Linked DNA regions of Rattus norvegicus. The protein of the gene in region 3 purifies or fractionates together with the protein of the main gene of each other region. This does not show direct contact. Links are inferred from orthologs where the notes say so. Each region holds a gene or a part of one and is shown on either strand. Other genes may lie near its edges.

The links.
Region 1: the proteins of Rbx1 (region 3) and Fbxo7 purify together in Homo sapiens (affinity purification with mass spectrometry; 5 studies listed by BioGRID and IntAct, with this or other methods). This does not show direct contact. The link is inferred for Rattus norvegicus from reciprocal best matches to the Homo sapiens genes RBX1 and FBXO7.
Region 2: the proteins of Rbx1 (region 3) and Klhdc3 purify together in Homo sapiens (affinity purification with mass spectrometry; 3 studies listed by BioGRID and IntAct, with this or other methods). This does not show direct contact. The link is inferred for Rattus norvegicus from reciprocal best matches to the Homo sapiens genes RBX1 and KLHDC3.

Annotation. Positions count from the first base shown.
Region 1 is NC_086025.1:19,722,112-19,726,840, forward strand, and holds the start of Fbxo7 (F-box only protein 7), read right to left. Parts: upstream 3,070-4,729; 5' UTR 3,037-3,069; coding exon 2,915-3,036; exon of another isoform or gene 2,767-2,914; coding exon of another isoform or gene 2,730-2,766; intron 2,672-2,729; exon of another isoform or gene 2,498-2,671; intron 667-2,497; coding exon 372-666; intron 1-371. UniProt on the Homo sapiens protein: Substrate recognition component of a SCF (SKP1-CUL1-F-box protein) E3 ubiquitin-protein ligase complex which mediates the ubiquitination and subsequent proteasomal degradation of target proteins and plays a role in several biological processes such as cell cycle, cell proliferation, or maintenance of chromosome stability.
Region 2 is NC_086027.1:21,798,519-21,803,073, reverse strand, and holds the start of Klhdc3 (kelch domain-containing protein 3), read right to left. Parts: upstream 3,070-4,555; 5' UTR 2,989-3,069; intron 1,521-2,988; exon of another isoform or gene 1,507-1,520; 5' UTR 1,355-1,506; intron 820-1,354; 5' UTR 761-819; coding exon 607-760; intron 430-606; coding exon 253-429; intron 123-252; coding exon 7-122; intron 1-6. Other genes in the region: Mea1 (male-enhanced antigen 1), read left to right, coding at 3,898-4,167, 4,249-4,351. UniProt on the Homo sapiens protein: Substrate-recognition component of a Cul2-RING (CRL2) E3 ubiquitin-protein ligase complex of the DesCEND (destruction via C-end degrons) pathway, which recognizes a C-degron located at the extreme C terminus of target proteins, leading to their ubiquitination and degradation.
Region 3 is NC_086025.1:114,869,616-114,874,234, forward strand, and holds the start of Rbx1 (E3 ubiquitin-protein ligase RBX1), read left to right. Parts: upstream 1-1,363; 5' UTR 1,364-1,368; coding exon 1,369-1,446; intron 1,447-3,923; coding exon 3,924-4,002; intron 4,003-4,619. UniProt on the Homo sapiens protein: E3 ubiquitin ligase component of multiple cullin-RING-based E3 ubiquitin-protein ligase (CRLs) complexes which mediate the ubiquitination and subsequent proteasomal degradation of target proteins, including proteins involved in cell cycle progression, signal transduction, transcription and transcription-coupled nucleotide excision repair.

The sequences.
Region 1 (4,729 bases), about 95 Mb from region 3:
CTATGTGAAAGACCAGGCAAGTTAGAATGCCAGCATAATATTACTGCAGGTATCTAGCAGTTAGAAAGAAAATGTTCAAGCAGGGCAGTGGTGGTGCAGCCTTTAATCCCAGTACTTGGGAGGCAGAGGCCCTGAGTTTTAGGCCTGCCTGCTCTATAGAGTGAGGAGCAGAGAGAACAGCCAGTACCACAGAGAAACCCTGTCTCAACAAACCAAACCAAACCAAACCAAACCAAACCAAACCAAACATGTTCACCACGGGCAGTCTACAGTTTACTGATGCTAATCATCCTGACCGGTGTGGAGTTCCTCTGAAGTGTCAATATACCTTATCAATTACTCTATTCCATCTCTTCATCTTTAATACCCACCATACTGTCATCGGTCCAGGCATCATATTGGGTGACCTGTCCGTGGGATGAATCACTCCCTTGTTCATCTGGGATGTTAGCCTGGCTTGAGGTGGCAGCCAAAGGAGGTTGGTCATTATTCTGGAGAGAGGAATGCTCTGAATCTGTAGATGAAGGTAAGTTAGGTGCCGGCATTTCATCTTCAAGAACCAAACATATCAAGTCCCCAGAAACAATCCCATATGAAGCCAAGGTCTCTTCATCTCCAGTGAGGGCATCCTTGTTGTTCAATGTAATTGCAAATCGGGTATCAGAACTGCCAAGAAAGACGGATGAGCATAGTAAGAGCTACCTACCAATATTCCAAATAATGCATTTGGAATACATTAAAGTACATGCTATGTGCCCAAAAGCACTATGTAATATAAAAAAAAAAAGAAAGAAAGAAAGAAAGCAGGGGACAAAATTACTTGTTCTTCTGATCAAATGCCTGGGTCACAGACTTCTAACTAAAACTTCAATAGCCTGGAAGGTATACTTATCATTAATTCATATGTTCATCGATCCTCGAGCATATACTTTTCAGTATTTCAACATGGCTGAACTCGAGGAGCTTCTTAAACTTAACACACCACTTTACTTCCGGCTTCCCATCAGTGCGAGGACTTCAAACTCCGGTGCCAGGCTTGGGCATCAAAAGCTTTCACCACCTCCCCAGCCCGATTCCTTTTTCTTACACGCATCCTTTCCTTTCTCATCAATTAAAGATGTTACTGGAGTTAAATTTATTCCTACTCCACAGACAGTAAGCTGCTCTGCTTGCTGCTTGCAAAGTGTTCTGATCAGCAAGAAGCTGAAAATCTGCCAGTGCCCATGAAAACACCAGGTCAACCTTGGCAGGAAAGGGGACAGTCCCCAAGCAAACAATTCCTTCTGTAGACAAGATAAGGAGCCGTCTGTTTAACAGAGATGCTAGCTTCCCCTCCCACTTTTCTGGCATGTTTTTCCAAGGTCCTATTTTCTGTAATCACCGGCATTGGGGGAATTTCACCCAAAAAAAAATGCAATTCTAGAAGCTCCAAACAAAAACAAAAAGGAAAGAGGAAGCTTCAAACTTTAAAAAAAATCTGTTTTATACCAATCTTTGGTTTGCTTACTTAGAAAATACTCTTTAAGAACAACAAGTGTGTCACATGGACACATTTTAAAGCTTCCCTTTTGTACCCCAAATGAGCAAAATTTCAGATTTTCACACCGACCTCGACTGTGAAAACAGCAGGCAAGAGAAACTAACAGGGGCTTCTGGGTTTCACACCCTTTCAAAACTGCCCAGCTTAACTGAGAAGTAATACAATTTGTAAATACCTTAAAAATTGCATTCTCAAAGCCTGAGGAGTGGCAATTGTTATCAACATAGAAAACAGTTTTACACCAAATGAGTAACATGTAGGTAGGTCACCATTATATGGAAATATATATAATATACGATATGGGAATACATTGTTTAATTCTTTTAATGTGAAAAAGGGCTTTTTAAAATATTTTGCCTAACATTATTTTATTAGACAGGGTCTCACTGTGTAACACTGGCTGGTCCGGAATGAACTCAAAGATACACCTAGCTCTTCCTCCAGAGCGCTAGAATAAAGGTATACCTCAGGCTTACTTAATGGGGAGGGGTGGGGGGGTGACCAATCTAATCAGTTTCATTTTGCTTAATTCCCTACAAATAAAGTGAAAAGGGGAAGACTTATTTAAAATGCCAATTAACGGGAAGAGTTTTTCTTTTAACATTTTTCCCTTTAAAAGCACCAGAGCCCATCTTCTAATTTTATTTTCTTCACTAGTTCAAATTTCTAGCTCAGCACTTGAAATGGGTCATCCATATAGTTGTCTCTCTACGTCCTGAAAATATCTTCTACAGAAACATAGAAGCTTCATCTGCAACCCCATAAATTAGTAATAGAACCTAATCCTTTCTCAACTTGCCACAAAACTGCAAGCTCTATAGGGTCAAGCCTCTATTTTAGAGAAAAAGCAACAAACATTCTCACCCAGAAAATGCCCAGTGACCCGAAGAATGCGTACTTCCAAACCTTGCAGTGAGAAAGTTACAGTTAAGTGCAGTCTGGCACATGCACGCTCACCTGTTACTGTAGCCCTGGGCGGTGGCACAAATTACAGCGACGTAGGATGTCAAGAAGTTTGTCACTTCAGCTACGATGCTTTCCCCGACTTAACCACTGAAGTATCCTAACCGCTAAGGTAAATTCCACCCACAGTGGGTTTACACTGGGAGGTTTAACGCAAGCCAAGCTTCCCGAATTTCCCTCCCGCCCTCGGGGCGGCCGTGACAGCAACCCGGAAGTGACTACTCACCATGGTGGACAGCGGCACCAGGGGGAGGCTGGGCCATGGTCTCCCAAAGCCAGACCCCGGCCAGCACTCAGCTGCCGAGCGTCACAGTCACAGGCGTCTAGACCAGCTACGCCCCGGAGGCCCGGACCTCATGTGACCGCCCGACGCGCGCCATTCCCGAGCCCCGCGACCGCGACGCCGCTCACCTGAACCCCAACGTGGGCAGCAGGTCCTGGATGAGGTGCGCGCGCAGCTGCCCGAGCGTCGGCTCCGACTCCGGCACCTCGAGCGGCTGGGTCCGCTTTTGAAGCCGCACGCGCAGCTTCATGGTGAGCGGACCGCAAGCCTCGGTCGGCCCGGGGAGAAACCGAAAGCAAGTAGCTCCGGGCCTGCGCGCCTGAGGAATCCCAGCTCGCCGCTCTCTCCACCACGCCCCCTAGAGCCTTCTGCTCGAGCCGAGTGCCGAGCGCCTGCGCTTCTCTATCGGTGGCTCTGGGCGCGACAGCGCCACCTGGGGGGCGAGGCGCGCACGGCGCAGGCGCTGAGTTCGCTGCCTTGCGCCGAGTGCCCACGCTACACCCTGTGCGCTTCCGCCCGGGTGAGCGAGTTCGTTCTTTCGGTCCCAGCTTGCAGGATCTTTAGCGCTGGAACGAGCGCTGCCCACAGTGTGCAGACGTGACAGACGCCCTAACCTGATGGCCCTGGTTTTGCCTGTTCTATTCCGGTCATTAGTGCTCAGACCTGCCTATAATTTACATAGGTCCCCTGTGGTGATAAGGATGTGGAGCCAGGGATCCCTTAAGGGCTGTTGTCGGCCTGGGAGATCCTAGAGGCCTACAGGTGAGATAAGAATAGGACAATGGCCGTGAGGTATTAACAGCTGCCTTTGCTTCTTTAAAACTCACTATCGCTATGGGAAACAGATGAAATGATCTTTTAATTACTACATAGGGAAGATAAGAAGCAATTGAGGAAAGTAAAACAGTTTTCCTGCCCAGCTGTGGATTTCGTGAATAGTTGTAATATACACCTTTCTGATGTCCAATTTAAACCCCCCTCTTAATCCTTAGCCCCCCCCCTTCTCCCTATGGAATGTTGTTTTGGCTCTAAAGATGCCTGCCGTCTGCTAGCAGTAAGAATAAACTCACTTAATATAAATTTGAATTGAGCCTGAGTCTTTGGTCTCTCTCCATGGATTTGAAGGCCACAACAGTATAGCTCTCCACTTTCCAGGTTAAATCTTGATAAACCAGCCTGCCTTCATCTCAGGCTCAAACGACATCTTATAGTAAAAGCAAACTAGGTCCATTCCTGTTTATGATTACATTTCTCCTTCTCAAGGATTGGTCTATGTCCCACCTGTAAACATAACTACGAATGGCTCTGTACTGCCCCATGCCTTTATTACAAAAGGTTATTATGACAACCTGTTGCTATGACAAACCCGCTGTGAACCCCTTGCAAACCATGTCTTCATTTCAAGAGGTTTTCATGACCAACTTGGCGTGCGTGCGTTCTGCTTCAGTAATCAGTGCCTATTCGCCTGCCAAATCCTCATCTGGAAACCCCCCTTGCTCCTGAACTATTAAAACCTTACCTTACCTATGTCCAGCCCATGTTCACAAACCAAAACATAAGCTTGCATTAATTAATATGGCCATGATGATCTGGGTTTGATGGTCTTTCTCCTCAGACATGAAGGACTGATCTTTTTTCCTGTGGGATTACCAATCCCTACTGCATTTTTTCCTTGGCGCTGCTCTTAGAAACTTGAAGCCACCCCCTCTATCTCCTTCGTGTTACAGCTTTCAGTTGTCGCACGGTGCATTAGTAACCTCTTGCCGCATATCTGATGTCCTTCAAAGCTTACTAGCCTGCATCGATAAACATGTGTTGCCCCATAGATTCTGTAGATTGGGAGCCTGGGTGTAGGGTGGTTAGGTAGTTAGTTCTGTCTCAGGGTCTCCCGCCAGAATTTACTACACATATCACCCTACCGGCCACAGATTTTTTTTTCCCCA
Region 2 (4,555 bases), on a different chromosome or scaffold from region 3:
ACTTACCAGCTGTTCATATCCCCCAAAAATGTACATGATCTTGCCCAGGACACAAGCTGAATGTCCATCCCGGGCCCCAGGAACTGTTCCTGACACTCGGGGTGTGGACCACTTGTGAGTATCTTTTGAAAGAGTTAAGAGAATGACACAAGTCAGCAGACATATCCATCTCAATCGGGCCTTCCCTTCTCCAGCACTCCCCACAACAACCCCTTTCCCAGGCCCAAGGCGTCATTTGAGATCCATACTCACTGACATCAAAGGCATAGAGTACGTTGCAGGCCCCTTCGGTGTCATTACGCCCACCCCAAAGGAAAACCGTGTCATCAATGAGGACGGTCGAGTGTCCATACCGCATATAGGGCACAACAGGAGCTTGCCCTCGGACAGCAGGCCTCACTGGGGGCAGCTTTGTCCAACGCAAGGACACTGTGGACACAGCTCTGCTCAGCCCTGGGAACCTCCTCTGAGGCTGCCACCATGTCCCAAAGCAAACATTCTTACCCAACCCCTTTGCCACACATACAGACAACCACTGAACTTCATTTAGGTGCCCACGACCTCCCCCAATACAGGGACTCCAGAAAGGTGGGAGGACTGGCTTACCAGCATTGAAAATGTGCACATCTATCTGCCGTAGTGTTTCGTAGTCTTCACCAGAACAGTAACCCCCGAAGGAGTATACTCGGTGCCCAACAGCCACTGCAGCATGGTTCACCCTGCGTGGCCCGCCCTCCAGATGCACTGTCCACCGTAACATCCCCTGGGCCACAGGTTACATGAACATGCCCCCCCGGCACGGCCTGCTGCCTCTGCTACCTGTACACAAGTTAGGGCCACAGGTTCCTCAGATGAGGCTCTGTCCAGTTCCAATCTTTGCCTCTAAGTGCCACCCCAGTGGCCCTCCCAAACCACCCCTCTACAGGAACACTAGTCACAGCTCAGGTGGCTGGCCCTGCCCCAGGAGAGCTGCAGAGGTCAAGGAGCTAGCCCTGGCCCTGTGTTCTCCCACAGTGAAGGGTGGGGCCACCTTAACCTGACTGCCAGCTCAGAATCATGGTGATCATGACTGCCCCCCTGCTCCTGCCAACTCCACCCCATTCCTGGCTTGGAACAGCTCCAAGCCCCCCAGTCTCCAAACCCCTTTCCCATACTGGGTGTGCTCTTGCTTCTGGCTCTGTTTACTGCCACCTCTCTAAGAATTTCCCTCCATCTCTTAAAGGTAGGGATCTCAAAATACTCACAGCTATTAATAGCCCAGCCAGCCACAGACGGTCCACTGAAAGCTGGCATGGGTGCTTTAAAGTTAAAAAAAAAAAGCTTCTAGGCTTTTAGGGTGGATCAGTGTCCCTACCTAGGACAGAGAACTCCATGTAACCATGGTTGATTAGCCCCTCACAGGTCGTTCTTGTCAGCTGATCCGTTGTCCCGGGGGTCACCCAGGGTGTCTACAGGCACGAGGAGTTCCTTTGACAGCTGTGGCTCGTATGCTGCCAGGACTAGAAACTTAAGCCAGAAAGGTATGTGTATACTGGGAGTTGGGGGTAGGGAAGAGTTCTTTCAACTTCCCCAACCCTACTACTGTTAGAGAACAGGCCACTTCCAGCAGCCCTTCCCCTGTTTGGGTCTCTAAAGGAGGGATGGGGTGAAGGTGTAGACCGAAATGCCTTTGGGCAGGACAAGAGAAACCCCGAGCATGAGAGCAGTTGTGGCCTCTTAAAGACACCCTACCAGCCTAGTGACAATGGGTACATTTGAGAGTTCTTTCAGGTAAATCTTTTTGCAATTAGTGATGCCTTTGCCAGGAGACATGTGCTAGATTTGAGTGATCTGCCTCCTGTTCAAAAAAGCTTTGGCAGAGAGGAGAAACCTCAGGGGTAGGGGAGACACCTCAAGCACAGGAAGTCCCCTTAAAGAGGACAGATAAGGCTTTCACCCAACTTCCCCCAACCCTACACTGTATGCTTTAAATAGCCATCTCTCTCAACTTGAAATAGCAGTCAAAAGTTAAACTCTCACTTCACTACTCCTGCTCTTAGGTCTGCTTCTCAGAGAAAGGGGATTGAAAGCTTTAAGAATCCAAGTCCCCAGGCAGGTGTGGTGGGGCATGGAGGCAGGGGGATGTCTGTGTTAATCAAGGCCAGCCACACAGGTCTATACAGTAAGTTCCAAATCAGAGCTACAAGACCCTGTCTTAAAACAAAATAGGAAAGAATGTGATGGAGTGGAGTCTATTATCTCCCTTCATAGCCTTTACTCTCCCTTGAAGGTAAGTGCAATAACACGAAAACGCACAAAGATGAGTCTACTATCCCAGGGAGAGGCGAATAAAGAATCCCATCGTCTTCATTGGGATAACTCAAAGGCAGGGGGTTAAACGATACCTCTGGGTCTCCAGCATTTTTCTACCACTAGGCCATTTTCAACCGCCAGCCCCTTGGTGTACACGTCCCTTCCCTGCCACTTTCAACCCACCGCTGGCGTCCCTTCCCTTCTTAATCTCCCCAGAGCCTTGCAGTTCCTTGTTTTTCCTTCTCCCACCATTCCAAGGTCCACATCGGGACCCTCTAACTCGTCTACGTCCACGAAGGGGAAAAAGCCCTTCATTATCCCCTTCCAACCATAACTGTGCTCTCTGAATATGACTGGACCCCTGATTTATTCCACCTTTCTCAGTCGCCCCTCCCCCACAACGCCAGACACTGCCCCCTCCCCCTGCCATTATGCTCAGCTTCCTGATTCTCTTCAGAACCCACTCGTCCAGTTCTTTCAGCGCTTCCTCCAGCCACCAGGTCTCTCCCACCCGTCTCCAGGCTATTTTCCCCAAACCTTTCTCGGCCCATTAACACTCCTCTTTCCCAGCATCCCTCTAGCTCCTCCCCACCCCCATCTCATCCTTCTTGTCCCCTCCCCCGCGACCCCAGCGGGAGGCAATGGGCGTCGCCAGCCCCTCCAATCTTCCTCATCCCTCAACCCATCCCAGGCTACCTGCCAGGCCGGGCCGGGGTGGGGCCGCGGGTCCTCGCGCTGCCAGCAGCCTAGAACCCGTTGCCCGCCAACCGATTCCTCGGTCCCCAACGAGATAAACACTGCCAGACTTCGTCCTTCCGGCGAGCAGCGAGACGCGCACGTGCAGTGAGAACTCTGGGCCCGACAGCTTTAGGGATTTGTAGTCCAGAAATTACCTCAGGCTCCAAAGAGGGGGGAGTGGGCGTGACCTGTTGTGCGCATGCGCATAAGACCAGAACATGCCGTGCGCCTAAGGGTCACTGGGTAATGTAGTTCTTTGTGGTCCGGGCAGGGGACGGCGGAGGCGGGGCAATCGTCCTCGCTTGCGTCAGTCTCGGGCACGGGGCGGGGCTGGAGGACTAGAGAGCCCCAGCACGTCCTGCCCCGCCGGAAGTGAAGGTGCGGGTCCGGCTGTGGGCTCTGAGAGGGTGAGGCGCGAGGAAAACCAACGCCGAGAATCAGTGGGGGCGGGTAGGGGACGCTGTAGCTGGGGCCACTGAAGGGGAGCCCTGGGACTGAAGGTTTTTTTTGTCAGGCGGTACTGCACTCCCCCGGAATAGAGGGGCTAAGGGGCGGGGACGCGCTATCGCGGGTAGTCTAGGGACCTAGCGGTGGAGGGGCGTGGCGTGAGTGGGCGAGGTTCTGGGAAGGGTCTCACAGGAAGAGGTGAAGCCCTCCGGTTGTCTGTTTATTTAGGAATCGGGCGAGTTAAAGACTAGTGTGCTCCAGTTCAATATGAGAACCCAAACTTAAGACGGGGAGGCGCGAGAGACAGAGGGGAGGAAGATGCAAGACCCGCGAGAAGGAAGTGGGTGGTCTGAACGTGAAAGGAGACCTGATCTCACCCAGTCCCTATCCTGCCTTTCTGTCTTTGCAGCCCCTGCCCGGATGGCAGCAGTAGTTCTAGGGGGAGACACCATGGGCCCTGAGCGTATCTTCCCCAATCAGACTGAGGACTTAGGGCCACATCAGGGCCCTACAGAAGGAACTGGGGATTGGAGCAGTGAAGAACCCGAGGAAGAGCAGGAGGAAACAGGAGCAGGCCCAGCAGGCTACTCATACCAGCCCCTCAATCAAGACCCTGAACAAGAAGAGGTGGAACTGGCACCAGTGGGTGAGGGCGAAGATGGAGCTGCTGACATCCAAGATCGGATCCAGGTATGGTAGAGGGAGTTGTTACTAAGCAGGTGAAACGGAGTGTACCAAAAGCTGGACCCATTATCTCCTCTGGTTCTGCAGGCCCTGGGGCTTCACTTACCAGACCCACCATTGGAGAGTGAGGATGAAGATGAGGAGGGAGCTGCAGCATTGAGCAGCCACAGCTCCATCCCCATGGACCCAGGTAAAACAAAAACCAAAACTCATTCTTTCATTTAGGAATAATCATGAAGAAAAGGGATTGGCTTAGAACCAGTAAGAACTGGGCATGGTGGTAGACACCTTTAATCCCAGAATCATGAGGCAGAGGCAAGAGGCAGGTTGGTCTCTGAGTTTGAGGCCATCTGGGTCTACAGATCAAATTCTACAAAGAGAAGTCTTATCTTGA
Region 3 (4,619 bases):
ATCTCTCTAGCCCCAATTGCTCAGATTTTAAGGACAGCCTGGGCTACAGAGTGAGGCCCTGTCTCAGAAATAATAATAATAAACAATAATAGTAAAACAAAAATTAAAAGACCAAGTAGCATGCTCAAGATAGTTGTTGAAGAATGGATAACTATGCCCTCAGTATCTTAATTAACTATGGGTTTCTAGCATCCCTTAGGGAGTCTATTGACACATAAATCAATGACGATTTTAGTGTGGGAGGTAGAACTTGGGCCAACACACACACTCCTTGCAGGCTGTAGCAAGTCTTCTTTGTGCAAGTTAAAACTGTGGTGGTGTTTCCGGATGTATTGCCCTGCTCAGCAAGGACATCAACAGCACACTGAATTGCACGCCAGTATTTCTTTCAAGTGGGCATTTCAGATAAAACGTCATTGTTGTCCTGTTGAGGGAACTAGAACACATAAGAAGTTCGAGGGTGATGTATTCTAGTCATACCTCTGCAAATTTAGGAGATAAAACAGTGGAGGGCTGGGCTAAACATGGAAGCATGACAAAAGATACAGGTTCTTAGCTCGGTGGTAATGACCGGTAAGAAAATCAGAATGCCTCACCCAAATTCAAGTTTGGCCACTACAAATGTACTAATTTAACTGTAGCACAAGTAGCAAAACTCGGATGGGAAATGGGGAGAAAGGAGGATGGCATCTCCCAGGCTCCTACGTGTTCTCCGTGTCTTTCTGGTGAGAAGGTGAAGGCAGAGCTGCAGAATGCCTGCTCTGTTTGTTCCTGGGCAGAACATTCAGGCCTCTCTCTCCCTATCAAATAATTTCCCAAACTGAAGTTGAGAACGCAGACCGTGCCCGGGCCTTGGAAAGCCGAGTCACAGGGCCCCCAAGCCGGCCACGGTCAGCAGAAGGCCGTTTTGAACGTTTTGGAGTTTCGGGTTTCCACAGACCAGCCCATGCCCTTTGCACCGCGGCCTTGGGGGCAGCGCTGTGGGTCTGGATCAGGTATAAATTCTGGGGCAGAAGGAGGAAGCAGCCGCCGCCCCAGAAGAAGGAGTCAGGCCACAGGGTTTCCCAGAAGGCGAGCAGTATTCAGACCTCAGGGACATTCCCACCAGTTGGCTCCCTTCGCTCGGCCCCGCCCGGCTCCGCCCGGCCCCGCCCGACCCCGCCTCAATCACTCCAGCCTCCTCCCCAGCTGAGAGCGACGGGGAACCTCCGCCTGCGCCTTTAAGGGGCGTGACCGCAGCCTCCGCCCCTTCTACCCGCACGCGCCAATAAGGGGAGGGGTGCGAGAGGAGGAGCCTGGCGAGAGGGCAGGCGGCGGAAAGTGAGCCGATGCGCAGGCGCAGTGGTCGCACGACAGTGTGTTTCCAAAATGGCGGCGGCGATGGATGTGGATACCCCCAGCGGCACCAACAGCGGCGCGGGCAAGAAGCGCTTTGAAGTTAAAAAGGTTGGGTCTCGCCAGCGCCTTCCTCAAGGAATCTAGGGAGGCGCGGATATGGCTGGCAGGCCCGAGGAAGAGCTAGGCGCGGGGGAAAGGGCTTCATTTCAGGGCGTTCCTGGGACCGGGTACCACTAAAGGAAGCCGGGGGGCGGGCCTAGGGTTGATCGGCATGATGGTGGCCCACTGTCTTGGCCATATTAGTTTCGCTGGGAAAGCTGTGGGTCCAATCGCAGAGCTGCTTACTGAAATACGCGAGGTTAACTTCGGTGCGGGAGCCAAGCGCTTAAGCTGTCACTGAAGTGACTGAGAGTTGGGGGAAGGACAGGGTGGGGTGGGTAGGATGGAGACTCGTGAAGAGACTGCGGCGGGTGGAGGATGGGGCTGTGCGGAGAAACCCGGGAACGTGCGATGACACCGCAGAAGAGCTCTGCCGGTGTTCTTGCTCCGCCCCTTCCTGGATCCTAGAATCTATTGACTCCGAGGGACCTGGTGTGGGCCCTCGATTGTATGGCGGCCTCCATTAGCCTTCTAAACCCACAGTCTCAAGTGTAAAGCTTGGTTCTTCCGAGACGTGTACTAGTTGTCACATAGCTTCTGCCACTCCAATGGTTCTCTAATGCCCGTGTACACTTCTAACACAAAATGGTAATTTAAAAAGTCTGGTGGGCTTTGTTTTAAAAGCAAGCCCAGAACTTGTGCCATTTAAGAAGGCGGAGTACTAATTGTTAATGACCTGGGAACACAAAAAATATGAAACGTCCTTTTGTATTCTATTCCCTTCATAGTTTTCTAGCACTTTAAGAGAAAAGTGCCCGTTCCTACCTAAGATTACATAAATCTGCTCAAAATGAAGATCTTGAAGTGGGGAAGGTGTTTTTGGTTTTTTGTTGGTTTGTTTGGGGTTTTTTTTCCTTTTTGTTTTTGTTTTTTTTTTTTTTGTATGTATTACTTTTGGAAAGAGTCGCTGAGAACACCTCCCCACCCCACTCTTTTTTTGTCATCTCATTGTGGCCACTGCTGCTCAGTTACGGCCTGCAGCCATATGGAAGAATAATAGAAATAATGTCGAATTTACTAGACTCGAATACTTGAATTTGAGAAGTCAAACCAAAGTAGTCCTTGAAAGGGGTGTCCTAGGGGTTGGGGATTTAGCTCAGTGGTAGAGCGCTTGTCTAGCAAGCGCAAGGCCCTGGGTTCGGTCCCCAGCTCCAGAAAAAAAGAAAAAAGAAAAAAAAAAAAGAAAGAAAGGGGTGTCCTGCCCAGTGTAAGTCTTGGATCAATTTACTAGAACTAGCAAAATAATAGTTTGGACATATGAACGTTGGGAACATCAGTTTCCTTGGTAAGAGGACAAGAAAATTGCACTGGATTGACTTGCTTGCAGTGCTGTGAGGTGTAAGTGATGACCTTGTTCTGTGTGCTGACACTGGGTAGGTAACTCACTATCCAGCTTATCCCACGATTATCCCCTTAGCGATTGATCCATTTATTATCGTAGTTCAGTCTGTTCACCTCTCTTCCTCCGAGTCCAAAACTGCGTGGAGAGCAAATACTTAGGCAGATTTTGAGTTCGACCACATCTGTCAGGAACAGCTCCACATTAGTTCAAGTTTGTACTTGAAGCTAAAATGGGTGTTCAAAAAATAGCTCTAATATTCCCACGTCGGTTTGGCTAGCTAAATTATTTTATGCTATAGACCAAAAAAAAAAAAATTGGCGCGGTGGGGCTTGCCTTCCTCTTTCCGCCATCTTGGCGCCTTTGGAAGCCCACTGGGAACAGGACTTCTAAAAAAAACAAGTATGTCTGGAAGGCTGTGGTGCAAGGCCATTTTTGCTGGCTACAAGCCAGGCCTCCTGAACCAAAGAGAGTACACGGCTCTTCTTAAAATTGAAGGCGTTTGGGGTTGGGGATTTAGCTCAGTGGTAGAGCGCTTGCCTAAGAAGCGCAAGGTCCTGGGTTCGGTCCCCAGCTCCGAAAAAAAAAAAAAAATTGAAGGCGTTTATGCCCGAGATGAAACTGAGTTCTACTTAGGCAAGAGGTGTGCTTATGTGTACAAAGCAAAAAACAATACAGTGACTCCTGGAGGCAAACCAAACAAAACCAGAGTGATCTGGGGAAAAGTAACTCGGGCCCATGGAAACAGTGGCGTGGTTCGTGCCAAATTCCAAAGCAACCTTCCTGCAAAGGCCATTGGACACAGAATCCGTGTGATGCTGTACCCATCCCAGATTTAAACTAATGGAGAGTAAATAAATAAAAGTAAAAAAAAAAAAAAATTAAAAGTACCCATGTTCAGGAATGAGGAAGTGTACACGTGGTCTGCTGTTACCCTCTGATGTTGTACAAATAATGCAATCCAAAAATCATTCTTTCTTTGCTAGGCCCTATGGCCAGGGAGTTGGTAACTGAAGCCGCAGCTGAAATCCTAACGAGTCTGTTATGTTACCCAGAAAATGCATTGTTTCCCCTCTTCTCCTTGCAGTGGAATGCAGTAGCCCTCTGGGCCTGGGATATTGTGGTTGATAACTGTGCCATCTGCAGGAACCACATTATGGATCTTTGTAAGTAACTCGGGGCGGGTGGGAAGGCGTTGAGGAAGAGAGAAATGGCGGTCATCCTCGTGTGCCCAATTGTCTTCTTTACCAGTGAATACAAAGCAGGGTCAGAACCCGTAGGTACTTGAGTGTTTGAAGTAGATTGCATGTTGTTATTTTTGGAGACAGGGTTCTCTGTGTAACCCTAGCTGTGCTATAACTCAGTATGTAGACCAGGCTGGCCTTGAACTAGAGATCCCCTGCCTCTGCCTCCAGAGTTAAATTGTTTCTCTCTCTTTTTTTTTTTTTTTTTTTCCTTTTTTTTTTCCGGAGCTGGGGACCGAACCCAGGGCCTTGAGCTTGCTAGGCAAGTGCTCTACCACTGAGCTAAATCCCCAACCCCTAAATTGTTTCTCAAAAGGATGTTTTGGAGCCACACCTGGCTCTTAGAATGATTTGCTCGTTGTAAATTGGGCAAGATCCCATTTAGAATGAGGTGTGGGCAGAGCTGCCTCTTATCTCCATCTTAGACAGCCACAAAGGCAAAAATAGTGAAAGAAAATGACCTTTGAAGGCGGTACATGCCTGTAACCCCAGCATTCAGGAGGCAGTGGCAGGAATATTGTGGCAAATCGCAGGCTCAG